4 linked regions of the Lepisosteus oculatus genome follow. The protein of the gene in region 4 purifies or fractionates together with the protein of the main gene of each other region. This does not show direct contact. Links are inferred from orthologs where the notes say so. Each region holds a gene or a part of one and is shown on either strand. Other genes may lie near its edges.

Region 1 (7,667 bases), on a different chromosome or scaffold from region 4:
CAAATTAAATGTGTTACAGCAGGATTAATAACTCTTCTCATACTGGATTTTATCTCAAGCTATCCATGGCAATTCACAAAGGTTCTCTATTATGGGCCTCCTGTTGATAAATATTAATCATCTAGAAATTTCAGGATGGCAGGCACTGACACAAGTTCATAATTGCATGTATGATGTTAGTGACAAGAATGTTTCAGGTTTGCCTTCCCCAAAGATCAAAATCTATTAATCAGCAGTTTATGTGTCAGGAAATATCTAAAAACCTTCTATTACTGTCATTTAAAAGATTGCTTGGATTGCTTAAATTGCACAAATTGCATAATTTCTTAAGAGTTTGATTATTGGTTTTCTTGTTGAAATTGTGGATGGGCCCATAAGAAGTTTACCTAGTTTTTTTATAAATCATTTTATACACATGTATATTATAACTTTATATTATAAAAATCACAGGAAAAAAATAACAAAGTAAAGTTTTAATGACACCTGACACTTCCATTACTGCTGAATAATTTATGTTTGTGTGACCTAAATTTAAGTTGGCTCATTTTTTTTTCTGTCCTGGAGTTTGAAAACGTTGTAAAAACAATGAACTGATACTATTTTTACTCAAAAGAAAAATGTGTGCTGCCACTTTTTTGTCATTATGACAAAGGCTAAATTGGGCAGTTAGTGACACGGTGGTTAACGTTGTTCTTCGCAGTGTTGGGTTCAATTCCAGAGCTGAGGTGCTGTCGGCATGGAGTTTGTATGTAATTCCCTGAATTTGCATGGGTTTTCACTGCTCACTTCAGTTTCTTCCCACAATCCGAAGACATACCCTATCTAAACGAACTGGTGTGGTGTGTCTGTGTTTGTGTCTGTCTGCACTGTAATGGACTGGCATGTCATCCAGGTTTGCTTCCTGGGATAGGCTCTGACACCCCAGTGACCTTCAATTGGATCAAATGGATGGATGTCTTCATGTAAAATCCAGATTTTGCAGGAAAAATAAAATATGCAAGAAACTTAAATTCAATCAATTTAATATAATGTGATTTCCTAGAAACTGCTAAACTGCATATGCAATAAGCATGTTGCTCTTTTAGGAATATAAATTTATAGGTTTTAATAGCAAATACCATTGAAAAAGAACTCTCCCCATATTATACTGTGTTCATGCAGGTATTCAAAGACTTCAACCTTTTGTGGTCCCTTTTCCATATCTGTGCTTTTCAAAGACTTAACCTGTGACTTGATTTGAAAGTGCTTTAGTTTTCATGGTTGAGTCTTTGCCTGAAATTCACTACGTGGCCAAATGCACGTTTTCTGAAACCATTAATTACTGTAGGTGGCTCGCGCAGGTACAGTAATACTGTGCATGTAAATTCATTTCCATTTGCACAGGAAAGGGTTTGAATCTTATGCTATCATCACCTTTCCATTTTTCATTCATATTAATTATAAAGTTACTTATTTGTTTTTGCTTAGAATGTGTGGAGTAGGTCGTGTATATAACAAATATTAATTGTTACTTTTAGGCTTTAAAGCAACAAAATCTGAAAACTGTGCCAAGCACTGTATGCTGATGTGTAATCCAATTAGATTAGTGTTTGTGCAGAAATTAGAAAGCAAAATATAACAAGTATTGGTTAGCTCTTTGCTGAAAAGTATAAAGCAAATATTTTCTTAGTTTCTTTCTTTTGAATGGAATCAATCTCTCTTTCTTCCTTTGTAGTTTGCATGGTACAGAATTAATTTAATTTTCATGATGTTTCTGCTTCTTATAGACACAGTAATATTTCTATAGAGAACTGAATTTCCCATCCAAGAATGTAGTTATATCCAGACTGGTTAATGATATACCAGTATATGCATGAAACTTGTCATATTAAGATTAACAAGATGACACAAAATGATAAGATTAACAAGTTGGTAAAAAGCAGTTGAACGTCAAATAGGGAACAATGAAGGTTATGTTTTTTGGTTTGCATGTCTTATACTAAATTGGATACAGTTCAAGGATAACATTCTATTCCTTTCTATTTTTTGCTACTTACTAAAGTACAAATGTAGGGAAGGTTGTAATGTTTCACTGAAAATTCACAGGAAAAATGTCAACAAAGTAATTGTATGTTTTTCTGAAGGTCTCTTTTTCTTTGAATTATGTCAGCTTCCATCACAGAAAGAAGCAGAATAATTTACTGTATATTCTGGTATCGCATGGCCTGATGTAAATCTAACTTAAAAATAAGAGACCCATGGGTGCCAAGTTATAATTAGTCAATGATATTCTGAAGTTTACATTGATATTTTAGTCCTGCTACGTATTGGGCTTAGTATTTAGTCATAGGACAAAGTATCTTACTGAGGCAGTTACCCAGAGGGACAGGGAAAAATTTTATTAAAGTGTTTTTACTGAAAAGAGGAAAAATGAGTCTAATGACTATCACACAGCGCAGATAAAGTGCAGCCTCCAACTACAAACTGATGTCTAGAAAACCATTATACAGTACAATACGTAATGACTCTGTGTTCCCATATACAGAACCTGCAGCTCTCACAGAAATTGAAAAGTATTATTTTTCCAGCTTTCCTTCATGCTTTAAAAGATGTTTAATCAGTAAAGCAGTTCTGTATTTTTCATTATGACATAAATGATCACAATGAAGGTTAGCTGTATGTTGAGATTAATACACAAAGTCCTAGAGGCAGGTTCAATAATTTAACCCTAACTATATTTCTTATGAGCCCCTTTGTTGGATCATGTGCTTTTTGAGAAAGCTATCCTGCACCATTTGAAATGAGTTTCTCAGCATTTATATTCCATTCAGGCACACTAGGCTCATAGCTCCTCTCTACACCAGGACTGATATTTCAGAATGAAGGTTTCTCATTTTTATTTCACTGTGGGAATCAATAATGGATTAGTGAATTAATAGACCTAATGCAACGACTTTTGTTATCTGGTGCACCATACCAGGGCATCCGTGTGGAGGTCTCAGATTAACAGGAAACATGCACGGGCCTACAGGCTTAAAGTATGAAGAGTCATTGATCGATTCCATTTTCTCAGGGAAAGAAAAAGAACTAAAGCTTTTGAACAACTGGCAGCCAATCAGTACCCATTTTAATAGTAAAGCAAAACCTACTGAAGCTCCTTCCAGGGAGCCCTGACTGACTTTTCCATTCCCTGTCTAGAGTCTGACAAGTTCTATAGAGAACTGTGAAACTACATGAACAGACAGCTCTGGAATCAAGAGGTATCCCTGGTAAGGGGAGACATTTAGAAACTTGGTATCATTTATCCAAGGAATACTCAAGTTTGAAGCACTTGCATTTGTACAGTACTAGGTACTCATACACAGTATTTTATAGATTATGTCAGGAAACCTGAACCCTAACCCTGGAAAGCCCCAGTCCTGTATTTTTAAAAAATTCTCTAAAGCATTTTTGGCATAGACCAGACATATTAAGCAATGAAATGAGTAATTTGTGAAGCTGAGGGAACACCTGTCCTTGAGGACTGAAAATGTAAGTTCCTACTGATCTATAAATTATTTCACGTAACAAAGAAGTAATTACAGTTGATCACAAGTCATTGTGCCAAGCTTTTAGACATCAGTGATTGAAGGGTTTCCTATAAAACCCCAATCAATTGAACAGAAGAACATGTGAAAGGTTATAGCAAGAGGAGGCTGTCTGGTCCGTCTAGCCTGTTAGGTTGTTGGTAACTAATTGCTCCAGAGGTCTCATCCAAAAGTTTCTTGCAAGAAACCAGAGTATCAGCTTCAACAACATGGTTTGGTAGCCTGTTCCAGACTCCAAAGGAATGATTTCTGTTTTAGGTTTTGAAGGCACTTCACCACAGTTTCATCTTGTGTCATCTGATCCGTTTTACTATTCCTTTCGAAGAAACCATCTGTGTTGATTTTAGCTATAAATCAAAAGATAAATACCATAAGATTATAGGCAAATCGCTTCACTCTCACTGATTGGTTTCCGATTCCCAGATGATTTCACTACTAAATACAATGAGAACAGTAAAAAAAAAAAGATATCAGAATTCAGATCGGATGCGCTGTGTTAACTTGGCTTTGCACTTTCACACATCTTTATTACTGCACTGCTAAGTAACAAAGGCCTGACCCTTGAATATTGCTCTCATCATTTTAACAACAGCTATCCCAGTTGTATTAGAATCATCAAACACTTTTTATAACATTTTTATAGAAGACACTTAAATTGCCATTCAAGAAGCTAACTCTTTACATTTTACTTTTTTTTTTGGTACAGACGGATACTTTATTTCTGTTAGTACAGTACTTCAAAAACATGACCGGTATAGATCACATTTATTCATATATTGGATATAGTGCTTTGTCCTGCTGACGACGGCATAACTGGTATCTAAAATTATTTCTGTTCGTGTTAGTAGCCTCACACAACCCTGGATCAGAAGTGGCTTCACCATCTACAAATGATCAGCGAGATACCAATAAATAATATATTGTTTTACTTCAATGATTGACGCACTAAGGCCCGTCGGTGTTACAGAGTGTGTTGATGGACAGCTGGAATATTTCCGTCTTCTTTATTCAGTCCGATGCTCGGCGCTGGATATAAGACACCCCCACCACCACACGGCCCACCTCTTTCTCGTCAGTGTACCGCCCCGCTCCCCGTCTTTCCTTATCTCTCCGCCGAAAATATAACCAGCTTCCGTCGACCCGACATCACCTTTCGATCAGAGAGTAATCATGGCATATACCCTCCAAGGCGGTTTAAAGAAGAAAGTCTGCTACTATTATGACGGTACGAGACCCTGCAGTCCTGTTCCTGCTTTGCAGTTATTATTTATACAATAGACGACGGGGGTGACGCTCACAATGAGAGAGGGGCCGAGTGAAGACGAGAGGGACAAGAGACGGGTGGCCGGGTTTAGTGTGTCTAAATGTAACGCAAAATGTAAAATCGTGTCTCGCAGCTGATATTTCTTTTTACATCGACTGTAACCGCATAATTGAAAGTTACAACGCGTTTGAAACTGATTTTACGTTGAACCCCCGAGAGTCGATGCGAACATTTCGCGTACCTCAGCCGTAATAATACACAGAAACATCACGCACGATGGCCACTGCGCAGCAGTTGTGCGTTTATAATTTCTGTTTTAAAAGTTGTTGTTTGTTTTTTTGGAGGGGGGGGGGTTAGGTTAGCGAGGTGTCCCGACTGCAGTGCTGAATCAAATTAAATACTCAGAAGTTGTTCATTGCCGCCAAGGCCTAGTGGCGACGGGAACAAAACAAAACCATACACTGCGCATGTCCGCCTTCATCCAAAACAAAACCGTCTCCTTCCGTCGTCAGAGCCATTAGCGCTGTTTTCTTTACAGATTTAGTAGGTATCGCCCGTTTTCTTTATAGACGCCACGGAAAATGTAGCTATCGCTACTCACCAGCACCAAAACGGTTACACTATCCCGCGTATATTTGCTTTCTTTAATACCTGCCTACGTGTGATTAAACTGCAAGCGGATTGTGCTTCTCTAAAGTACGTTGACGCCAGGACATGTGGCCTCCTCGCGTTATGGAAATGAGCCCGACGCAAAAAAACAACAACAACAAAACAATCTTCATCGTTTAATTTGTAATTATTGCGTCTCTTAAGTGAAGATTTGTTTGCCAAAATGTAAATGTGGACTTAAGTCCACAGCAGGAAAAGGTGTCCCTTAACATCTTAGAAATAAATGGCACTGAATGGTTTATTAATAAAAGAGTTTTGTATTTCTTTCAATACGAAGAATTTGAATAAGTCATGCCCAGTTTTGTCTGTTAACCTTTACTTTTTATTATTCAGGTGACATTGGAAACTATTATTATGGACAGGGGCATCCCATGAAACCTCACAGAATTCGCATGACCCACAACTTGCTTTTAAACTATGGGCTTTACAGGAAAATGGAAATCTATGTAAGTCTTGAAGTGTAATGACAGATTACACTTCCGCTGAACATGTGTCTGTTGCATTGCTGTCTTTAAGTGTTTGCCAAGCATCGCTTCACAAGTCAGCATTATTGCCATTTCACTTATCTACAGTGTGCATTTTATTCAATTTGCATGTTGTTGTACCTGTTGTTTCCTTCCTACTTACAGGTCATTTAAACTTTGTATTACAATGAAAATTCACCTTAGAACAGGGCACCTGCTAAACAGAGAAATACCTCTATGATTAGTTATCATGCAGACACTAAAGCAGAGGACTGATGTACTTTAGCCACGGAAGCAGTATGTGAAAATGCTCTTATTCCGCTCAGTGTGTAGGTTCATAGTGTAATATATCTGGACTCTTTTTTCTTAGGATAGCAAAATTCTTTATGAAAGTAAGCAATAGAATAAATAAATAAGGGAGCATTAGTACTATTTGATCAGTTGTAAATACATTATAATGTAGATTTAAATATTGGCATTTTAATATATTTATTATATACATAGTTATATTGTTCCTGTATGTATGATACTAAAATGCCATTGGGATATTTATTTCTTGTTTCTGTCTTGTGTTTAACTCTGTTGATTGGATTATGTTCATTTTTGTGTCTGCAGAGACCTCATAAGGCCACAGCTGAAGAAATGACAAAGTACCACAGTGATGATTACATCAAGTTCCTCAGATCAATCAGAACAGAAAACATGTCTGAATTCAGCAAACAAATGCAAAGATGTGAGCATTGCAACTTTTCAGACAGTTTGAGATCTTGTCTAATCAAACACTTCACTGTAGATTAATTGCAAAACTTATGTAAGAATCTGTTAAATCTGTTTTACAGATGTTGTTTTTTTCTAGCGCCTGACTAGGAATACAATACTAATTAAAAAAGACCTTACTGAGTTAATTACTTATTTTTGGTTAGCTTACCATTTTTGTCTTTATATCACAAATCATACCTAATTTATAATTATAAAGTAATTATGTAAAGCAGCTAAACCATATAGAATATAGATTTTTAAATACATCACTGGCTGTCATTTTACCTGGACATATCACGTTTATGGTATCATTAACGTGAAGAAAACGACAGTTGAAACAACTGTTTCTCCTGTCTGGTTCTCTGGTTGATTGTTTTTGATAGATATTTAGCAGATAGTATTTCTGTAGATTCATCTGTTAAATTGGTTTTGCTGTCCAATAACGGAGAATGTTCAGGGACGATAATATAAAGAAAGAAGGCATCCAGCTCAGTTATTAACCAAATAATTGTTTTTAAACAAGATCTTGCTGCTTCAAGTATTGGTGAGGCTGCAAGACTTGTTTTGCTAGATGCTATTAATATTCTCAGAATTAAAAATAATCAGTGGTTTACAAAATGTACTGTACAGTACATTGGTTGTAGTTAAGATGTAAAAATAAAAAATGGAAATTGGGGACTATTATACTATTAATTGCAATACTGTTTATATATTATAACCTGAGTGACTGATATGACCACATGTGCGTGGACGTCCATTTGTCTTTGACGAACACGTCTGAAATGTTAGTAGATGTTTATCATTCTGGGTATTCAGAGTTATCTGTACTATTTATAGGATGACAGTGTGAGCTATTAAGGCATGATCTGTTTAACTATTAACCTCCCGAAATGTATGCGTCGCATTCTTTTATAGTCAATGTTGGGGAAGACTGTCCAGTCTTCG
Region 2 (7,448 bases), on a different chromosome or scaffold from region 4:
GGGAAATTGAAGGAAAAAACTTCATTCCCGTTTGTAAACCACAAGTTTTCACTGTCTCCAAAAGCGTTAGTGTTAATACTATCGCAGAGTATTTAGGATTACATTTACTTTTTTGTTTTTACTGGCATTTTTGATTATAGAAATATTCATATGTTGGATTACAGCTATACTGTTACCAACCTTTGTGCTTAGATGTCTCATGGTCTTGCTTTTTCTGTAACACATTGGCACATAATGCCTCTGTGTTTGTGTATCCAAATAATTATCAAATAAAATATTAGGAAATAAATGTCTCTGTGCAATAAACATATTTGTGACTGTACCAGGTGTCACTCGAACTGTTATGCAGAAACGGAGCTCGTTAAGAAACTACATAGGACAATATTTTCATCGGATTAATTTTTAAAAGAAGAAAACTTGTAGTTGGAATTGTAGAGACGTCAGTGCAATGAGAGTTGCTCACTGTTCAAAACATAGGAATAAAATGAGTTTCCGGAGAAGCAGTTAATTTCAGCGTATGTGGCACAGCACCAAACACATGGACCCTTAAGGCGCTGTCATTAATCATCACATAGGTACACCAAGACGTTCACTGAAGGGCCGACTGCTGTTTTTCTTATGTGCTTTCGAACACTAACAACAGCACGCTGTGATTTCACGTGGATCTGGAAGTAAAAGAACTCGGAGACGTTGTGTCAAGTATCTAGTCTGACCCCCACGTTGACACCACCAACCCACACAACCCCTTGGTCCCGATCTGCAGGGTCTAGACGGGTGTCAAGTCCACTTCAGTGAAAGGCGAGCTTTGCGACCCCGAGGACAAGACGTGGCCGCTCTGGGGAGTCACGTCACTATTGTAAGCGGCTGATGTTCTAGGTATATATGCTGTGCAGTCGTGGGGACGTACTTTTTCTCTCTAGAAGGCGGGCGCGTTACAGCCACTCACCAGACCGTTTCGGTAGCGCAACACCTGTCCGCCGCCGGCGGCTCCTTCTCACGATCATGTGCCGTTATAATGGAGAAGAATAAACGACGGAGGCAGAATACTCTTCCCTCGGAAGTACAAATCGATGACCTTAACTCCTCAGATCGCTTAAACGCTTACTCTCTCAGCAGCCCGCCTGAACCTCTCTTCTCGTTCCTGTGCCGTCACAACGACCTTTCACCCTCTCGCCTGTGAAACGCATCATTATTTTTAAAACTCAAAACTCTTAACATTTACTAAATTATGTTTTACACTAGATTATATGTTGCACTGTTTACAGCCTCATCTTGCATTGCATGATCTGTTGCGGTTTTAAGCAAGCTGGAGATACGTTGCTGATGAGATGACCAATGGCTATGTCAAAATGCTGCGGTAGAACCAGTATACCAATTGCAATAGAAATGCAGCAGTATTTATTATTAGAATTAGAAACATAGAGGTGTAAAAATACGTTTTAAGAGACGATGGGAGTGCCGATCGACTCTGAAGAGCTGACATGGGTTGGAAGATCATTCCACAGTCCTGGAGCAAAGGAGCTCAGTTTCCCAGAGTTATCCAGGAATTGGAGCCTTGTTTTGGAAACTAAAAGAAGGTCAGAGTCCGAGGAGCTCAAACGACTTACAGACGCAGCCAGGAGCTAAACCACTCAAGCCCCAAAAAGTAAGCAGCAGCATTTCAATTATCTTCAGAAATCGGCAGGGAGCCAGTGCGTGGAAGCTAAGGTCTGTATTTTAATTTTAATTCAGGGTCTGAACAGCTTCATTCTGAAGATATTACAGGTTGTTGAGAAAATGTTTGGATGCAGCAGAATGCACGACACTATAAACAAGTCTGGAAAAGACAACAGCGTGCATTAGCTGCTCTGTATCAGATCGAGAGAGATGCACACGAGGAAAGAGACACTTTCATAACATGAACTTCAGATGCGTCAAAGACGAATTCAGGTCTGCCGAACTGAGCACTTGAACGGGTTCCAGGACAGGTCAATGTGAAGCTGCTGCAGTGGTCGAGCCCATGAGGATGAGCCTATCAGCAAATTCTGAGGGCAGAGCTGTGGCTCTGTGGCTCGGGATCTGCGCCTGTGGCTGGAAGGTTTCTGGTTCATATCCCATGACTGGCAGAGGAATCCAGTGCTGTTTGGCCCCTGAGCAAGGCCCTTCACCCCAACTGCTCCAGGGGTGCTGTATAAAATGGCTGACCCTGCGCTCTGACCCCAAACTTCTCATGGAGAGCAAGCTGGGGTATGTGAAAAGACAAATTCCTAATAAAATAAATTGTATATGGCCAATAAAGTATTCTAAAACAAAACCTGTCAGAGTCCAGATAGTCACCCCATTTGCTCCTGCCCGACCTTGAGGCATCATCATAGGGTTGTTTATCTACATCACTTCTGTGAACGTTCCTCACCTTTTCTCCCTCATACACTGCTCTGGTACTTCCGCTCCTGTGCAGGATGTTGAGGCACCAGTAGCCTCTGTTCACAGCGGTTACGCGGAAGATTTATTATTGTAGTAGTAGTAGGAAGAAGACAAAGGGGCAGATGCAGAGCCAGTCAAATAAAAGCCCTTCTGAAGGAGAAGATGCTGAGTCTGGGTGTGAAAGGGCTCAGGGAAGGGGACTCTCTGACATCCTTGGGGACAGAATTCCAGAGCTTCAGGGCAAAGCAGGAGAAGGCCCTGTCACCCACAATATGTACACGGGCTTGGAAACGGACAGGAGACCAGAATTAAGACAAATAAAGGTTGCGAGGCGGGAAGGGGGAAGATGAGAAGTCAGACATTTCCTGAGGTGCCAAGCCGTGTAGAGTCGTATAGGTGAGCACGAGGATTTTGAAGTTGATATTGTGGTGCCCTCGCCTGGCTAAAGTGTGCGATGAAGGGCAGGACGGGAATAACAGCCAGGGCAGGGACTAGGGATTACACAACACCCTCTACCTCCAGGCAATGAGGCTGCTAAATAGCCAAGCAGCAGCTCCTTCAGCAGATCACCCGGAATGGCTACATGGACACACAGTTTTCATTGTATTCGGCATACTGCACTACTTTGATATAATGTACTGCATACACCCTGGGCACATCGCAGCTCTATTTATATATAATATCATAATTTATATTATATTTAATGCGATTTCTATTGCACTATTATAATGTAACCTTATTTTGTAACTTTAATTTTGTGATTTTTAAACCCTCCCCCCCCCCCAGTGAGCTCGTAGAAAAGACATTTCATTGCCAGCAACTACTGCTGCATGCTGTATTGTTGTGCATTTGATGAATAAACTTTGATTGATTGATTGATTGATTGATTGATAGGGGGCCTCGGGCCAGCGCCGCTGACCATCCGGAACGGCTGTACACTGTGTGAAATCACTGTAAAATAGTTATTCCCCAGTTCTGAACCCCTTTTATACCTGTGCCCACTGACCACCCTATAACTACCCACGTACCTGTACCTGAAATGACCCCCGTGTGGTGTAACCTGCTTTGTCGTGCTTTAGCTCTTGTGTGGTTGTTGCTGAACTGGACAGCCATTCGACTAACAAAGCGCTGACTGTTTGTGCTAAAAGAGCCTGAGTTCTCGTCTCCATCCTTGCCAAGCCCTTCGTGTTACAATATAGAGAGAAAATATTGTGGTCCAACATACGACACTGATTTTTTTTTTATCTAAACAGTTATTTAATTAGTAAAACATTAATTGAGATACACCCCAAGATTTAACCCAATAGCCTTCAGTCCAGAGTCTGGGGCCCAAATAGTAACCTCTTATTTAGATTAGTATACCACACATCAGGTGACTTTCCAAGCAATGCCATAGTGAAGCCAACAGAAAATTATTTGGAACTTTCATGTCACTCAAAAGTAATATTTAACAAGTGACACTGGGTATTTTGTGATATTACTAACCAGTCATTACAAACACCAGTTCCAAGCCTAAAAAATAAGGCTGGCTTTCTGCACGTAGCTACCTGGTTCATACCATGAACGTAGCGCAATGTAAAAACAGTATTAAGTGACCCCTTAAAACGAATTAGCGCCAAAAATATAAACTTATCTTATCATATAAATATTTTTAAATTTATTTTGGTCTAATTCGATTTTATTGTTACCCCTGCCGCCCTGGACACTAAACCACAATGGTACAGTCCTGAAGTAAAAATGAGATTTCCGAATATTGGACATTTTGAAACTGGGGCCATTTTGGATCCCACGGAGAACACCGCTTTAGGGTTGAACTGGACGGATAACCGGAGCCAAGATGGCGCTCAAAGAAACACAGTTTCATACCCTTGTTTATCTTCTGTAGAGGGGCGGATAACCCATTCGCCTGCGAAGGACGCGATTGGACAAAAGGGGGAAAGACGGCCGCCCGCTACGGTCCGAGCTAGTCTCTGATTGGCTCCAGCGGTGTCAATCCAGGTTCCCGGTTGTGGCTAGGGCTGCGTAGCGCCCGGTAGACAGGCCGTGGCTGTGTCTGGAGGTAAAATGGCGCTGACTCAAGGAACAAAGAAAAAAGTTTGTTATTATTATGACGGTAAGGGTAAAGTTTAAGTTGTATTTTCCTAAAACCCGGCCGGCGTAACGTGCACGCACGGAGATATTCGCCGGGAGGGCTGCGTTTATCGTCTCTTTTAAAGCCTTTTTTTGGGGGGAGGAGGAGGGGGGGGTGAGTCCGCCGGCCAAGCGCTCATAGAGCCATGCAGCATCTCGTACCCCCTCCTTCCCGCAGTAAGAGGGCTGCCGGGCAACGTAGTTAAAATCATGGCCAGGATAAGTTGAAGCGGGGTCTAAATTTGAATTATCGATGCACAGTGGTCTCCGGCGGCTTTTCCAGCGTTTGCATGCTGGTTTTCTTCCCCCCCAGTCCCGCGTCATACTGGCCATCATAATAATCCCGAAGTCGCCCGTCTCCCCCCGGCGACCGGGTTACCTGAGTCGGTAAAAAGACGGGCTGCTGCGTCCCTTTTATTTATTTATTTTTACCGCCCCGGAGGGGTCGACATGCCGCACACCCGGGGAGTGAAAAAAGAGGCTTAATTATTGATGCTGTGCGGGGTTTTTTTTGTTTTGTTTTTTGTTTTTTCCCCGGCGGTGGATGCAGCCGCTGTGAATCGATTTGCAGCGGGGCGGCGGGATGCGTCAAGGCGGGGGAGCGAGGTCTTCCTCTCCCTTGTGCTCGTTTGACACCAGCCCCCCCCCCCCCCTCTAGACAGGGCTGAAGTGGCCCCTCCATCAGGCATCTCCCCGCCGGAGAGGGGCTCCTGCGTGGGCTCGCTGTGTGGGGGCGCCTTGCCCCCTCGGCCCTGTCGCCCGGTGTGGCTTGACACGCACGGACCGCCATGGGTGGACTCGCTCCTCCGAGCCTGTAATAGTCATGCCAGGGCAGCTGGCCTTGCAACCACCGAGCAACAGCAAGTTGCTTAAATCGTTCCTTTAGTTTCTCCAAAGATGCACCTTTTTTTTTATCTCGGGAGGTTGGTTCGTTTTTATGGCAATAATACAGAACATGCACAATGAGAGGGGCAGTAAAGTCTGTAGGAGCAGAGGGGTGAAGATCAGAGCCAGTTCAGAAAAAGGCTCTTCTGAAGAAGCAGGTTTTTAGCAGTTTGCTGAGGGGTGTAAGAGAACAAAAAAACGATCAGTAAAATCTTCAGGCAGCAGTCTGGTTAGGATCCATCGCATTAATAAACACGCAAAGATTGTGGTATGTACCTTGTGTTGCTTATAACTATTCCTGATACTAACCCAGCACCTTTTTGGAGGGTGCACCTATCTTTTTAAGAGCAGTGTTTTGCCTTTCTTTGAGCACAGATGATAAGTGTACACAGAGGTGGTAGTTTGATGTCCTCTGAGGGTTTAGCTTGTGTCATATGTACGATCGTGGTGCTGACTGTAAAACTTGTGGCGCTTGGTTAATTCTGAACGTTGCCATAAAATGTAGGTTTTGGTCCAGTGGAGTTCATCGTGGATACATTATAAACGAAGGCCGATCTGCCCATCTAGTCCTTTCTCTGGTTGGTAGCTAATTGATCCAATGTCCTTATTCAGCTGTTTCTTGAAAGAAACCAGGGTTTCGGCATCAGCAGTATGACTTGGTAGCTTGTTGTGCACTCCCACAACTCTTGATGTAAAGTAAGACAGCCTCCTATCTGAGTTTGCTATGCACTTCCGCGTGTGACCTCTGGGTGGTGTTTCACTGCTCATTTTGAAGATGTCCTTTAGGATGATGGTGTCAGTGCCTTTGAGTATATTCAGCCTTTGATTCGAGTACAGTAGTGTTCTCTGTTCAAGACAGGTTTTTTTTATCGTCATGTATTCATTTGTGGTAGTGCTCTAAGCTCGTAAAACTTTATTTGTGGTTTTAATTACTGTTCTCAGTGTATGGTCTGTAACGTTTTCTGGTCCTCCAACATACCAGTGTTCATCTCCTAGATCGTTTCAAAGTAGATACATTTGTTTGACTGGCACATTGTTGAGGAATCTGGATTTTGAAGATGAATGCTTTTGTTTATGTTGCTGTTGGTTTCGCGAATGCCAAAGCAATTCTAATGCAGCTCCTTCCCATCTTCCCTGCCCTCGTAGGGGATGTTGGGAACTATTACTACGGTCAGGGTCACCCCATGAAGCCACACCGAATCCGGATGACCCACAACTTGCTCCTGAACTATGGGCTGTACAGGAAGATGGAAATTTATGTAAGTACGAGAGTGTTTCTCTCTCTCTCTTTTACTCTCAGGATAATGTTGCTGCATGCATTAGTAACTTATAAACCCTGTCCCGTCCCTGTTCCAGTTGTGCCAGTTGTGTGTTTATTTAGGGTTTCTGTTTGTGCTCCGGTAATGAGATAGGAATAAATAATATGGTGAAGTATTAAAATATTTGCCAAACAGACCTCAAACTACAGGGTTTTCGAGGGAGCAAATTGTAGTGGCTGTCCATGATGCCTTGTTAAAAGAGTAAATAATCTGGTACTGTTGTCATGTTCAAGCATTCATAGTGTTCCCATGATGCCTCTTTAGGTTTAGTTATTTGTTATGTTCAATATTCATCATGTGTATCTTTTTCACTCACTGATGACCATCAATGTTCCTCAGTTGCGAGAGTTTCATAAAGTTTCAGACTTGGTATTTAATCTTATGTATGTTTTTTTTTTATTTCTTAATGGACTAAATGTAACACAAAGAGTACCTCCTTTTATTTGGCAGGAAAGCACGTTTCCCATCTGGGACACCGAAGGAAGTAAGGGAAGGCTGTTGACATGGATGGGCTGCAAGGGTCCTGGTCCCAGGACGACCCTGTCGGGATTTTGGGAAGTGCGGCTTCTTTCCGTGTGTTCACGTTCCCGTTCCCCTGTCTCCTTAGCGTCCGCACAAGGCGAACGCCGAGGAGATGACCAAGTACCACAGCGACGACTACATCAAGTTCCTGAGGTCGATCCGCCCGGACAACATGTCGGAGTACAGCAA
Region 3 (7,505 bases), on a different chromosome or scaffold from region 4:
ACCAAAAATGAAAAAGTACATTATAGATTGAATTTATTTTTTTACATATGGGTGACAGATTAAAACCTATACCAGATTATTATGAGATTAAATGGGTTATTATAACACGGTTTATGTTGCAGTGTGACAACAGCACTAAAAGAAAATTAACTTGGGCAGAAAATGAAGAAAAGATGTGTTTTGCTAAGAGAATTCCGCAAGATGCCAAAAGAATTAAACAGTTTTTTACCAGTATCATTAGAATAACCACTCAATATCTGTGCTTTACAGTGCTCACTTGCTTCATTCCAAAGCACATGCTTCAGTTTCTAAATCCCACATGCTATGATACAACTTACCTGTCGAGGCTCCAAAGCATCATCCAACCCCAGTCCTCGGATATGAGAGTGCGCCCCTAGGGAAAATGACCATACCATTGGTCCTCTTATCACTCTAAAGGTATTTATGCAGCACAAGTTGGATATAAGGACTGCAATCACTGCACAGTTGCAAATAACTCTACAGGAGCACTATTGACTCCAGTTCCTGGGGGGGCACAGTACACCAGGTTTTAAAGATAACTCACAATCCTCAATGAGTAAAAACAAAAAGACTGGGAACCAGTGTTAATACAGACTAATTATATAAATAAATGATTCAAATCAAATAGTCCAGATTGGGATGAAAATCATCCCAATCTGTAGCCTTGCATGACCAGGAGTGAATATCAGTACTTTACAGCAGTGGTTCCTAACCCTAGTCCTGAAGGAGCTTTGAATATTCTGGTTTATCCTAAAGTTGTGCTCCTAAGCAAAGGCTAATTGATCTCAGTCTGTGGTATATTAATAAATCTGTCTTTAATAACTTGTAAAAGGTCAAATGGGATTGACATTGTAATTCAGATGATTTGGCTTACATGTGACCAATAGGACCTCTGCATGAGGAAAAAAGGCTTACAATGGGCGTATCTGTTCATCAATTGTTCAACACGTAAGAACTGTTTAGTCATAACTAATGGAAAGTAAGTTTAGGAGAGGGTGCTTAAAGCTCTGTAGGCCGATGGCAAAATATACAGGGTATATTTCTGAAACACAGGACTGACCAAAGAAACATGTTAAAAGTTTTTAAAAAGTAAGCGGCTCCATTAAGTCATCAATGAGCACTACTGGAGAGCTGTACTGGAATGAACACTAGCACACAAAGTGTTCTCCCAGGATCAGAACTGTGCACCACTGCTCTTTAACATCACCCGCCAACTGTGTTTTAACTATGGGGCCAGCTGCTTACTTTCTCATGGTTTGTGACATTTTACATACACCTTCATACTCTAGCTCAATTATTCATCGAAAACTTCTAAAGACTTACCAATTCTCTCAATCCTGGTGATGTCACGCACCTCAGGAACCTTTGTTGTCGCCATCTACAAGAATAACAGAGTATTACTAACTCATACATTTATGCAAATCAGTCCTTCTGCTGAAAGTTAGTTGTTCTCTGTATACGTGAAAAAAGTGGCTTGATATCTAACATATCTCTGAACCTCAATGGGAGCTACTTCTTTAGATGTCTGGTTCTTTCAAGATGTTTTTACAATATGCCAAAGAAAATTGTCCTGCTTAAGAAGGAAATGCACAGTGCCCAGCCACTTTGTTTTGCTTTATAAGGGCCTGGATTTAATATAAATAAGTGAAGAAGAATAACACATCTCTGAATATTAATAGTAGCTAATTATCCTCCGGTACTTAAAAAAAGAGGAAAAACATCCCAAACAAAAACATATAATATAATGCAATTTTAAAATAGACACATAACTGAACACGCCCATACACATACACATTGTTTTCTTTATTGCTCAGACACCTACATTATGTATTGTCCATTATAAAACTTAAAATGACAGTAAAAAAACCTTTGGCTTTTGCAAAGTTCTCTGCATGTCATTTGGCAGTCTGCACCTTGAATTGTGATCAAGTTAGAAGCTCTACAACATGACCACTAACACTAAAGACAGGAGTACTTGCTTTTCACTTACAACCTAGGAAGACTAGAACTCATTCTAAACATTTATGTAAGAAAAAAACAGAATTGTCATTTGATCTGCTTTGACTTAATCCCATTAAGACAGCATAAACAGTAACCTATAATATAAATGACGAGTCTAACAGTAAACAAGGCCGAGAGTCCAAACTGAAGCCTGCACTGTTGCCATAGTGATTTGGCTTTCCTGGACGTTGCTATGGGAGCTACTCTGGGGAACGTCAAAAGTAAAACGTAGGGTTCAAATACAACCATAGAGATTGTTTTATTTTTGTGTCAAAATAAATACTAATATATCTAACTAGGCGGTTATATTTTGGAGCGCTTTTGCCACATTTTTGGTAGAAACACGTGATTATCAAGTTTACATGTTAAAAGAATATTGTACTGTTGTATTAAACTAACATGCGGCTACACTCTCCCCAAATCAGCTAAACCTTGGAGTACAGAACAGTATTTTAACGAAATAACAACTGACCTCGGTCTACAGAAAAGTATAAACGCAGAAACATTGCCGCCACTATTCTGTAACCACTCGGGATGAAATTACACCGGCAACAATCAATATGGCCGAATTGCTCATTCCAGTGTGGCCAACAAATAATTGAAAACCTAATCATCCACTCTGATATACGGTACGTTATGAGTAGACACGTACGAGCTTAACAAGTATCGTATTTATACTGTTTTCTAGTGGGCTGTTGGTTAGGCGGCGATTTACATGCTCTCGCGGGTAGATTCAACTCATCCTCATCTCTGGGTTGAACTTAATAAAAGCCATATTTTGAAAAAGCAACTCATAATAGTACGATGGCTTTAAATCTACTCCTTTCTAGAGACACTTTTTTTAACTCAAAAGGCAACGGACACTTGTAAGCTTCTCTTTTTATAAGCATGTTACTCACCTGCGCTGCCATCTTTTCGAAAATGCGGCCGTTCGTCTGGTCGCGCCTCTCAAATCCTCCCGATGTGGAAACAACAACGGAGTTGAGTAAGTGTTCCGGTTGAATAACTGTGTGAACGTGTGGATCCTCTTGTCTGAAGAAGTTTTAAAAAATCAAGTGAAGAAAAATAGAATGAGTCCGAAATATATAGTTATATACATGTGATTAAGAAATTAATGATTACAGATTTATTTATCTTAACAAATATTAGCAGTCTCTGGACGCAAACACATCCCAAAGCTCACCTACTCAAGTCTGGTACAGACAGAGCGCCCTCTTTTAAGATCCCCACTTGGTGTAGGAATCCGATGTAAGGTGTAGCGCCAAGCTCTCAAGTATAATAAACACAGGCAGCAACATTAGTGTTCAGACACAGAACCTGCTCAACCATATCTATACTAGAAGCGTTCAAAGGAAAGCATTTATTATTATTTTAGTAACAAATTATGCCTCACATCCACTACACTGCCAATTTAAAACAATATATCTTCCGGACGGCGTTTCAGAGTATCAAAGGTTACAAAAAACATTTAAAAGAAGTTATTAATTCCGAGTGCCTTCACTCTTTTAAACCCTAATGTATGAGCCCCTTCAGAGCGTATATATGCATGCAGTTTAGACTTATATTAATCTTAATATTCACTCTCTACTCTTATGGTTTTGTACTTATGTTTTGTTTATGTATTGTATTGTTATTAATATTACATTGATTGTATATTTTCGTAAAAACCACTGGATGTTTTGGGAACTCCATTATATGTGGACAATAAAGTAGGTTCTGATTTTTCACATCTGTAGCAGTAAGGATGCACTTTCAAACCGTATTCGTACACTGCCATTGAACACAAATAGTTGTTAATAAGGTTAATAATTAATACAGCTGGATATTGCCCCTTCAAAAGAAACGTAGTTAAAAGTTGAGAATTTATCTGTAGTAAAACCAACATAAAAAAAACTCCTTTGATTTGGGGTGTTTGAATGCATTTAGAGTTTTGTATTTTGCTTTTGTTCCAACTCACGGGGAGATGTATATGTACTGATGGGAAAAAAAGGAAATGCAACATTTTTCTGAAATGTGAATACTAAAGTTAAAGCTTATGTACGTTCACAAAAAGTTGTTTTTTTTTATTATTGCTGAGATTTTTTAGATTGCCCGTCTCCTTGAATAATCCGCGATTCTACAAAACTTTCGGGCATCACAAATGTGTGATTTTTGTGCCGTGTTCCAGCTAACTATGGCAGAAATCGAGAAGCTGGTGTCACTGACAAAAAAAAACACATGCCGCAGTTTTAGGTTGGGTATGCGTTTCACTTTTCCGTGCTACGTATCCATATTTCGGAAGGAATTGTTAACCGACTGCATTTTACGTATTCAGGTAACACAGCCGCAGTAGTTTATCCAGGAAGAGGCTACCTGAGTCCACGGGCTCGATTTGCATTACCGCTTGCCGAAAGAGAAAACCACGGTATGCAAGAGCCAGGCAGGAAGTGAAAGTAGTGAGGATTTGCACCGTGCAAATATTGAACACACCGTATTGCCGGGCCACAAGAGTCCGCACATGACGACGCTCCATTACTGGTGAGTATTTTTGGCAGAAGCAGAAATCATAATCATGATGCCTTACTACATGCATGAACCGGGTTTAAAATATAGAAATAAATGACACACGGATAAACTGTGTTTTTATTGGTACATTTAACATTTGTGACTGATCGGTTATAAGAATGTATAGCTTAGTCTTTAATAAAAACTGACAGATATTCAGATTTTATAATTAACAGGAGTAACTCCGCAAGCGATGCAAGAGCAATTCACAGCTATAAATAACGTTAAGTATTGGGCATAAACCTGGTATGGGACTTTTCTTCAGTAAACAATTCAAGTAGCAAAAACGTGAAGTACTGTATAAGAGATGAGAAATGCTGAGGTTGAACTACCTATAGAGGCTAAAGGCGTCCGGGTTGACGTTTTTCTTTTCTGAACATGCTGGAGAAGCAATAAAGGCTTACTGCTTGAATATTTGTAATATTACGTGGAGTTTGAACAGTCCATTAAGATTTCTAATACTGTATTTTAGTTTCCGGGTTACAAAAAAACTGTTCTTCAGCATTGCCATCTGGATTTTTAATTATTTAGGATGAGGGAGACCTGTAGTCATTTTTTTAAGAATTCCACGTGTGAACTTCTCCATGCGGGCATAGCTGGGAAGCAATCAAGACATTTCATTTTGGGGGACATTGATGCCCTCGTGTGGCTTCAGGCGGTAATACAGGCAGCTTCTCTCGTTACTATGCTGCCTGTCCACAGTGTTTTTAGTCTTGAACAATGCTCCGAGTGCGGAAAGAGATACAGCGAGTCGGGTGCCCTCAAGGAACACCAGCGCACTGATACGGGAGAGACGCCGAACTGCTGCACCCAGTGCGGGAAGAGCATCTCATAAGACACCAGCTTACCCACACAGGGGAGAAGCCGTGGTAAAACATGTAACGAGTTGGTTACATTAAGTTACGTTTTTTTGTTACTTAATGGACAGTGTAAGAGAAGATGAGTGATCGAATACTTGTTTATCAAATCACACAAACACGGGGCGAGTATGCAAACTCCATCCAGATAGCACCCCAGGAAATGAACCCAGGGCTACCAGGGAGCCATGTTTATAATAATAGGTGGGTTATTAGTTAATGTATCAGCAAAAGCAGTGTCATAGCAATGTGATTGTTGTTCTTGTTTCCAAAGCTGTCTAATTTCTAAATAACTGCACTTTGCATATAAGGACGCAGTTCATGTTAGCCTCTTCTTTCTCAATACAAATTTAACAATTTAAACAATAAGCACTGTCCATCAGCTCCAAATCAATTCAAAATGTTGAGTTTCAAGGAGAATTGCAAGCTCCCAATTGATCATTTTACTGTTTGTTTTTTTTGCGTTGGATCGTGCCTCAGTTCTGAATACTAGTGTGTCTCGCTTTTTAAAGACTGTGCAAGACAGGATAAAGATAGACAGCACCACTGACATAATGTTCCTTTTGCACAGGATATTAAGAGGGAAATGCAGTCCTATTCCTGAAGAGCCACTCAGCCAGGAATGTTTTGATAGTTCAAAGGAGGTTACAGGGCTGCTTTCTGTCAAAGTGAGAGCAGAGCTGCCGAGTTGAAGACTTGATTGAACTGAAATCTGTCACCACAGGGAAGAAGGACAGAAGCCCTTTTTAGGGCCTGTTGTAGTGCAGCTGTGGAAGAAGGTTTTGATCTTTCTCCATGACACGTACTAGAAACTAGCTCTCAGCACAGAGCTCCTGAGTGGGTTTTAAGTTACTGCTTTGGTGGCTGATGCTTTTATTCCAAAGCAACTTCAATTTGTCCCCATTTACTGAATACAGCTGTTAGTTTGCACCATAAAGAATATATATTGCTCAAGAGGTTTGAACACACAGACTTTTACCTGCGATTTCCTAGTCTTTCCCACTACTCAACACTCCTTCCCAGGTGACTAGATGTGAGAATGACTAGTAATCATCTTATTTAACTGTCGCAGTTTAGGAGATAAAGATGTTATAGTATGTTTTCTAACAGTGATCATCTACTGTGGCACCATGGTGGTGCAGCAGTGAGCATTGCTGCCTCACAGCGCTGGGGCCCTGGGTTCAATTCCAGAGCTGGGGTGCTCTCTGTGTGGAGTCTGCATGTTTCCCCATGTTCATGTAAGCGTCCTTCAGGTGCTCCAGATTCCTCCCGCAGTCCAAAGGCATACTGGCAGCTTAACAGGCTTCTGGGGAAATTGCCCTGTGACTGATCTGTCCAGGGTCCATCCTGCCTTGTGCCCCTTGCTTACCACCATAGACTGTAGCTCCACAGTGAGTACACCAGTCAGTCCTTCCCTCTGCCCCTCAGCCTGCAGGCATGACAGGAGCATTTGGCTTCTGGAAGACATGGAAGCTTCTGGTTCTTGCTTTTTAAACAGTCGCCTGACCAACCAATTAACTTCCGGCAGCTGGTCAGGTGACCAGAGGAACCTGGTGAATGTGGTCCTGGCAGGGCTGTGCTCTCGCGATGGGTAGCCAGCACAGCCACACCACTGCTCAATAGCTAAAGACTTGGACGCAGTGCTGGGAGAGGTCAAATGACCAAGCAGTCAGCAGTTCAGTTTAATGTCTCTTCTGATGGATGGCACTTGAGACCTGCAGTGTCCCCTGTCACCAAACTGGTGCATTAATCGCCAAGACCTCTTATACTGTACAGTCTACATTAGTCCTGGCAGTCCTTGTGAGCTCTATATCAAGAAAACGTTTTTGCATGTACTTATATTGTAAAATATTTATTTTTTGATGAGCTGTAAGTACACAACCTCTGCATTTCCCATAACCTGCATACAAAATTAAATTTAAATAAATTTTCCCCATTTTTAAAAGTAAAAGAAGCATATATCCAAGCAATATTTGGATTTCTGTCAGACTGGGCTATTCAACTTGCATTGTTTTAGTCAGCACCATTACTCAAGCGTGCTGCAACTACTTGAACATCTAAATAAGGAGCAGAATGATCAAT
Region 4 (7,770 bases):
GCTGTGGTCACAGGTTTAAGCCTGAGTCTCGTCATAGGCTGGCTGTGAACAGGGGCTAAGCATTGCTAAGTGTAAGCAGAGAGTAAATCGGTCAGGGCTCTCAGTTCTCCGTGACCCCTGCAGGCACTCGGGTGCTTGCTGTCAAGCTTTGGTCAAGGTGCCTCTCTTCCAATCGGCACTGAGCCTAAAGAGTAGAGGGCGGTGTGCCTGTGACATATTCAAAAAAAACGTTTTTAATGTTTTTTTTTTACTCAGACAGGTCAGAGGACTCAGCTTATACTTCATCATTCTCCCTTGTGCAGTGGCAAGGTAAGTAGGGGTGAGCCCAGATGTAAAACAACACACAATTTGGAATAACCAAAACTGCAAGTATAGCAAAACTGGCAATTCTAAATTTCTAAAAAAATCGCTATAAAACACTGCATCCAAACAAATACTTTTGCCACACTGATCAAACTGCACACAAGGCAATAAGCTTCTTCCTTGAACAACAGCTGACATCAGTATATAAATGAATTTAAACATACATGGATCAAATCAAAGGACTACTGCTGTCACGATACAGAATATGATTTTAATCTGTAATAAAAAGGCTAAAATAATAATTATAACTTGTAACGTTACTGTTTTTGCAGAATTTCTTATAGATTTTAGATCATATGAAAAATATGCTTCTCTGAAACAAACTTTCTACAGAAATTGAGCATACAATAATAATTTGTGGAATTTCTGACCACAACTGTGTCACAACAATAGACATTTTCCTGTAAGCAAGTAAAAATTAACATTTATACTCTTTAGCTCATTAAAATGTCTATGGCAAAGAGACTATTCACCAGCAAGCTATGTAAACAGCTAACTACATTCCTAAATCATTTACACTTTAGTATATTAATAGCAAAGATACTAATTTACTTGAAATCCAAAGGGTGTGAATAATATATAGGATCAAATCTTACATTTGCTGTGTAAAATAAGTTTACAATATTTCAAATGAGTTAATGCAATATTTGGACATGCTGCTGACCTGAAATTCAAATTGCAGTTAATCTACAAGATCCAACACTGAGGAAATTAAAAAATCAACTCAATACATTTAGAATGCTTACAAAGGGGGTCATTTTAAGGAATCATTTAACCTCTGTACAACAAATCTATACTTATCTAAAATGGAGGGGAAAATAAGTAGAGTTAAATACATATTTACAGTCAAAACAGACTCATCAATTCAAATGAAACTGACAACTCCCACCCGCCAAAAAAGAGTATGCATTCTGGCCCCTCCTACCTTGCTCTGACTAGCAGATGCTGATGAAGCAGACTGTGTTTTAGTGGCTTCAGTTTCTGGTTTCTTCTCCTCTGTTGCCATGGTTACTGAGCAAGTGAATCAGATCTTCGGAATAGGTGCCAGAGCAGCCAGACGATCACAACTAAAAATAATAGAAGCTTGTTGTTTGCGCCCATTTAGTAAAAAAAAAACATACACCAAAACCAACAACACACACCAAAAGACACATAATTCTTATTTCATTTGCCCATTACTTGTAATTGAAACAGCTTCATTTTCAAAACATTTTTGTTTCCAAAACATGAATCTTCAAAATTAATATGTCTTATACAGATATTTTTAATTCAAGCATTGAATGTTCTTTATAAAATTGTATTCCATTTTAAAGGTCTGTTGTAACATTTGTACATTTTGTACACTGCAAAGTTCTAATACAGAAAGATGCTATGAAATAGATTTAAAATCTTTTGTGGGGCCAGGCCTTTCAACTGGACATGATAACTGATGATGATAAATATGGTTAATTATTTTCTGTAAGTCACAGAAATCAATGGCCATCAGTCATTAAGCTGGTTGGTTTAAAAACAAACTGAACCAAGGTTGTAATGCTTATGGTACTGAGACCTAAATAAGGCTAGCAGGTCAATTTAAGGTTACTGATCCTGCTTGTTGTATTTCACAACATAAATAAGAAGCTAATACACTAAGGAACGTTTCAGCTTCGCTGTTATGCGGAAGAGATAAAAATGAGCATGAATGACATGTCTTCACATAAATAATACAGTATATAAATCTACGTACCTAAACTACATTATTTGACATTCATCTTTTTTGTGAATGCCACCTGTATGAAGCGTGATCAAATCAAAACGTTACGGGTGAAGATTTCACCAAACCGGAATCTATATACGGTTAAAGTTTACCTTAGGAGGGACTTCAGCAGAAAGGTAGGTGAAATCCTTTAAAACAACACCTTAAATGGCACGAATTGGAACCTTCAGAACAGAATTGTTACCTAATGTAGCAACTAACCTTAAATCTGTTCACTTCAAATTGGCATTCAGGCGACAGGCTGCAGTACTGGAGTACGACAGTAAGAGTCGTCGTAATTCATAATTTACCTGCCCATCTACAACAACAGGACTACCGTAGGCTATAAACCGGGTACTCCGTTCTGTTTTTTTTTAATATAAAAAAGTCCACTAATCAAAAACACATAAGGCTTCTCTTACTCACAAGCAACTACTGAAGTCTTAAAAAAACTAAGATTATAGGTTAAACTACTTAATCAGTTACTGCGGCCTGGCACAGAAAACGCCAAAGCATCACTCAAAACCAGACATGCTTCCTTGATCACACCGTTCGAGCACATTTTTACACTGCGATTTTAGCTTCGCGTCTAAAAATCTCAGACCACTGCATTTCCACGTCTGCAACCCATCCCCCCAGTCTGCGTTAAAACCAAATCATTCAGGATTTTTTTTCCTTTCTTTGCACATGCATATTCTACTCCTTCCATTCAAACAATAAAAAATGCGCACCTACTCGCCTCTCAAAGGTCGTCTTTACGGTCACCGTTCGTTTTGTCACCAAATCGACGTCTTGGTTCGCCTTGCGAACCCTCCCTTTTGAACAATAACTGGAATATTGTCCTTCTTCTCTTTCTGTTGCAATGAAGAAGCTGCAGCTTGTTGGCTTCAGAGCTCAGGCGGGGAATGTGGCGACAGACGCACAGTGCGCATGTCCGCACGCATGAACATGTACTATATTTACGGCAAACAGGAAGGGACAAAAGTGGCGAGTAACTTTGCCGAGGTAAATTTAGTGAAGGACGAGAAAGCTGGGAAAATAACCCATGTGTGAAGTTGTAGGATCTTGCACTTCTTTCTTTTTATACACATTCCTGATTTCATTACATAAGACTATATTATTAATTGAAAGCTTATTTTGGTTGTATGTGACAAACTCTTAGCACTGTTCCCTCTGAATAACATTATGTCTGACCCACATTTGTTTTGAGACTTTTGATTAATTCCTGTGCCTGAACATTCATGATGTATATTATTACCATAATATTACCTCCCCAACTCTTTCATTTATCCTGTATCTTCTTGTGTTTTAATTCTTCACCAGAATTCTTCTTTCTGGTACCTGTAACATTGTTGTCACCTGCTAATGTTTTAGCTTCTGTTTTCTTTATTTTTCTCCTAACACTCCTTGCATTTAGGTACAAACACTCAAGTTGTTTATCTTTACTTTCCATGTATCTTTTTTTCTTCTTTAAATTCTCCCCCTTGCAATTGTAATGTAAATTACTATGAATCAAAACAATCTGTACCCTTTTCATTCAGATATAATCCTCTACGCTTAATTTGAACTGGAGCTGAGCTCCAGTACCATTTAATTTGAGACAGTTTGCACTTTACTTATATATATCCTTATCATGCGAAAAAGTGAACTTGCCAATTCATATCTTAAAACACATTTTACAAATGGTCAACGATTTCATCTTGGTGACTCCTTGAGTACATTTTTGTGCCAAATCTATATCTGCTGTTTCTGTATGAATACATACATTATACATGAGAAACATGCATTAAAAATAGATTTGAAGCTCAAAAAAGTGTAAACTGCACACTCCAGTATAGTTTGTCAGGGGAATGATATGGCACGTTTTGTGTATTCTAATATTGTGTGCTCAAACCTGCAACGATACTTTCCTAAAATCTAACGTGATGTATTAGATGAGGCTACTAGTTTGAAGAAATAAAGTGTGTTGATCCTGTTACTCACCTGCTCTTCTATCTATTTAAATCATGGTTTATGGGAAAAAAAGATGAGAATTTCACACATCTATTTTCTTCACGGGGTTGCAGGAGACCATTTGCAGGCCAGACACACACAAACCAGAACACCCAGAGGAAACCCACACAAACACAGCGAGAACATACAAACTCCACATAGTTAGCACCCCAGGATTTTAACCCAGGCCCCAGTGCTACAAGGCAGCAAAACTAGCTATTGTGCCATTGTGCTGCCCACAGTTTTGTCCTTAACTTTATTGATATTTGTCAAAGTGATTACCTATGGGCTATATACAGTATTGTCTATTGGGAGATTATACAGTGAGATTCAGGAAACCTACAGATCTGCCAAAAAGCCCATCAAAGAGTAAATGTTTCAAAAACATAACATGATTATGGTATTGGACATGACTAGTTAAGAAATTCTATTTCAATTTGATCCATAGAAGAATTGTGCTACTTATGCTAATGTCATCTGTCTCAATATGAGTAATAGCCACTGGGTGCTCACCTGTCCTTGCTAGATGCCCATCTGGTAGCCTTGAAATTAGTGTTATAGCACACTGCTGTTTATGTGAGGTTTCATTTGCAGTGTTCATGAGAACACAGTCTCCAACAATCAACCCTTCTCTTTTTCTTGTATTTTTCCTGACGCTGACTGGAATTGTCATGGCTGATATGTCTGTGATGACAGAACTCTAGGAACTACAGCCTTGAGTTTCAAAGACTCAACTTCCCTGCCTGTTTCCAGATCCTCAAGTGGAATCATTTTATTTGGCAACGTCATGTTAGGTAGGAGTATTGGGTAGGAATGTAGTATTCTTTAATCTTTCACAGTCTGGGACCACCTGCTCTCTGACAACTTCTCTACATTGGTGCTCTGTTGATCTGGAGCGACTCTGAATGAAGGCCTTACCAGTTTCTCCATCTCATGTTGCTCTTAGTTCCTACAGCTCCTCTGAGTGCACTACATGCAACAAATTCTGGCAGTTTTATCAGATATAGTTTAGCTATAAGGACCTATTAGAGATGTTCTATTTGTTTTACACATTTCAAATAAGACTTAGACTAGTTTTATGTTGACTGTTTAAATGTTCTGAAATATATGTACCATATACAGTTATTAATGACTTAATCTGGACTCCTTTTGAAGGAATCCTTGTCCTTTGGGTGTGTGGTTCTTCGAGTATTGGCTCTATGATAATCTTGACACAGTATTAAATCTTTGTCAAATTAGGTATACATCACTGGCCAATGTTATGACCGTTCGCTTTGTCATCTGAATACCTAAAGCAGCACACATTTTAAATCTAAATTTCTTAACCCAAAACCATTGACCAAGACAAACTAAATATTATTTAGCAAGATTAGATTACACCATAAAGAACAGCTATAAGAAACAATGTTTCTTGCTTGTGCCTCTTTTCCTCTCGTAAAAAAAAATCCAATAGCTTTGCTATTATCTTACCTCCTCTCCCTTTATATACATTGAAGGACCCTGCATGACTCATTATTGACAGTACCTGTACAGACCACTATATTTTGTGGTAGACTGCTGATGACCAATTGAAACTTTATGAGCTGGAAAGTGCTGAAATCATAAACCGCCACTGTTTGAGAACAGACTACATTGGAAAAAACACAGAACACAAGAAATATTTGAATGGAGACAAAGTCATCTTGAATGTTTGTTTGTTGGTTGGTGATTGATATGAGGACCTTGTCCTGCAGATTTTTGAAGAAAGGCACAATCAGTCCTGTTTTGTTTGATATACATAGTTCTCAGTTCTATGTATACCATCCTGTCTCCTCCTCCTATTTATGTTTCCCTGAGGAAGTCAGTAACTTGGACCATTCTGAATACTTCAATCGAATCTGTTCATTATCTTCAAGGCAATGCAAAAACCAAGAAGGGAATCAAATATTATTATAGAAGATGAAGTATGAAGTATTGCTGAATACATGCAGATTGGCCGATGGGACAGGCCCATATTGCAGAGTGTCCAAAACAAAAGGTTTTTGAAGCCAGAACCTTTGCTCTTTCTCAAGCAAAATCTGAATAAGGTCTCTTGTTCAATTATTTACTCTTTACCAAATGGGCTAGACAGACCTCTTGTTTGTAGCCACCCATCCATTTTCTAACCCCTTCATCCAATTCAGGGTCGGGGAAAGCCGATCTCAAACAACCAACGTGCAAGGCAAAGTACACCATAGACTGGTTGCCAGTCCAGACAGCAGGGCCAACTTTATCAGAAGCCAGTTAACCTAGCATGTTTTGGAATAGTGGGAAAAAACCAGAGCACCCAGTGGGAACCTACCCAGAGTAAACATGCGGAAAACATACATTGGTGCTCTGTCGATCTGGAGCAACACTGAATGAAGCACTGCAAAGCAGCAATGCTAGACACGGCACCACCAAGCCACCCTTCATGTTTGTAACCTTTCTTATATTCTTATGATAAAAAATAATTTTAACTGTGAATTTTCAGTAATACGAGCAAGAACACAGAAAAATATTTTAATTTTGTCCCCTGACAGTAAACACTGCACATAGAACCACTATATACTGAGAGGCATTGCAAAATTAAACAAGGGAATATTGGAACATTGGAATATCGTTTTTTTTCAATACACAAACTACTTATACGGGTACAAAAGTACTGGAGTTAATAAGTTTAATGCATCATGGAATGCAAATATGAACACCAGACTCCAATTTTGTGAGCATTCTAAGTATGGTACCATGTAGATTTATTGGCTGTAAAAAGATGTCTCATGCCTCTTCAAGCCCAACTGGTCCAAGAAGCCAATTGGTAATTATTTTTAAATTACCCACTTAAAAGGAGAAATGAAGAACCGAGAATCACATCAAGCAAGATGAAGAACAGGTGGTCACACTGCAAGCAGTCTACCATCTGCTATTTGGAAGCCAATGTCTATTAAGCCAGTTTTTCTGTCAGGCTTCCCATTTGGACTAAAGCTGTTAACCAACAGTTTCACTTAGAGTAATATATATTTTTTGTTTGCTGAACACATGGTATATCAAAAATGTTAACATATTACTGTAACACTTAACAAGCCATTCTGCATCAATGTTTTTGTATAGGAGGTGAAAACTCATTGTTCATTTAAAAATCCTACAGATTCTGTCAATACTTTGATAAACTGAAAACTATGTTCTCACACAAACACGTTTTTCTCGTTCTCCTCCATGCTTTAAAAATCGTTTTATACCTGAAAAGATTAACGTTAAAAGGTAAATTAACATAACAATTACAACATTTTCCACGATTAAAAATATACATCCAGCATCCCATGACTGCAATATTAAATACTTTATCGATTCCACTGTTAGAGTCCAGAAGTGATCTTTCCTGTAGTACTGACAGCTCAGAGAATACGAACTTCGCAATTACACAAAACTAGTTTTGGTAATGACTGAAGGAGAGTAAGGGTGCTCAGCACGAGTTTCAAAATAAACTCGATGTCTTTGAAGGAAGCAACCAGATCGTTTGACTCGAAAATCAATAACACCATCCGATTACAATACAGCGTAATCTGCGTAAAAAAACTATTCAAGCAGAATAAAAAATCTATCTTTCCTTCTTCTCAAACTAGAGTACGACGCTAAGCTTTGTTGAGTGGGCCAAGAAACACCACCGCTAACCAGCCAACTGC

The links.
Region 1: the proteins of wdr5 (region 4) and histone deacetylase 2 purify together in Homo sapiens (affinity purification with mass spectrometry; 7 studies listed by BioGRID and IntAct, with this or other methods). This does not show direct contact. The link is inferred for Lepisosteus oculatus from reciprocal best matches to the Homo sapiens genes WDR5 and HDAC2.
Region 2: the proteins of wdr5 (region 4) and hdac1 purify together in Homo sapiens (affinity purification with mass spectrometry; 8 studies listed by BioGRID and IntAct, counting the BioPlex papers as one, with this or other methods). This does not show direct contact. The link is inferred for Lepisosteus oculatus from reciprocal best matches to the Homo sapiens genes WDR5 and HDAC1.
Region 3: the proteins of wdr5 (region 4) and ruvbl2 purify together in Homo sapiens (affinity purification with mass spectrometry; 3 studies listed by BioGRID and IntAct, with this or other methods). This does not show direct contact. The link is inferred for Lepisosteus oculatus from reciprocal best matches to the Homo sapiens genes WDR5 and RUVBL2.

What each region holds. Positions count from the first base shown.
Region 1 is NC_090697.1:5,943,656-5,951,322, reverse strand, and holds the start of histone deacetylase 2, read left to right. Parts: upstream 1-4,628; 5' UTR 4,629-4,736; coding exon 4,737-4,791; intron 4,792-5,832; coding exon 5,833-5,945; intron 5,946-6,578; coding exon 6,579-6,696; intron 6,697-7,637; coding exon 7,638-7,667. UniProt on the Homo sapiens protein: Histone deacetylase that catalyzes the deacetylation of lysine residues on the N-terminal part of the core histones (H2A, H2B, H3 and H4).
Region 2 is NC_090706.1:3,431,043-3,438,490, forward strand, and holds the start of hdac1 (histone deacetylase 1), read left to right. Parts: upstream 1-4,404; 5' UTR 4,405-4,467; coding exon 4,468-4,516; intron 4,517-6,564; coding exon 6,565-6,677; intron 6,678-7,344; coding exon 7,345-7,448. UniProt on the Homo sapiens protein: Histone deacetylase that catalyzes the deacetylation of lysine residues on the N-terminal part of the core histones (H2A, H2B, H3 and H4).
Region 3 is NC_090721.1:2,744,407-2,751,911, reverse strand, and holds the start of ruvbl2 (ruvB-like 2), read right to left. Parts: upstream 3,028-7,505; 5' UTR 2,934-3,027; coding exon 2,922-2,933; intron 1,400-2,921; coding exon 1,345-1,399; intron 395-1,344; coding exon 339-394; intron 1-338. UniProt on the Homo sapiens protein: Possesses single-stranded DNA-stimulated ATPase and ATP-dependent DNA helicase (5' to 3') activity; hexamerization is thought to be critical for ATP hydrolysis and adjacent subunits in the ring-like structure contribute to the ATPase activity.
Region 4 is NC_090719.1:7,051,060-7,058,829, forward strand, and holds the start of wdr5 (WD repeat-containing protein 5), read right to left. Parts: upstream 3,029-7,770; 5' UTR 2,834-3,028; exon of another isoform or gene 2,830-2,833; intron 1,431-2,829; 5' UTR 1,370-1,430; coding exon 1,289-1,369; intron 1-1,288.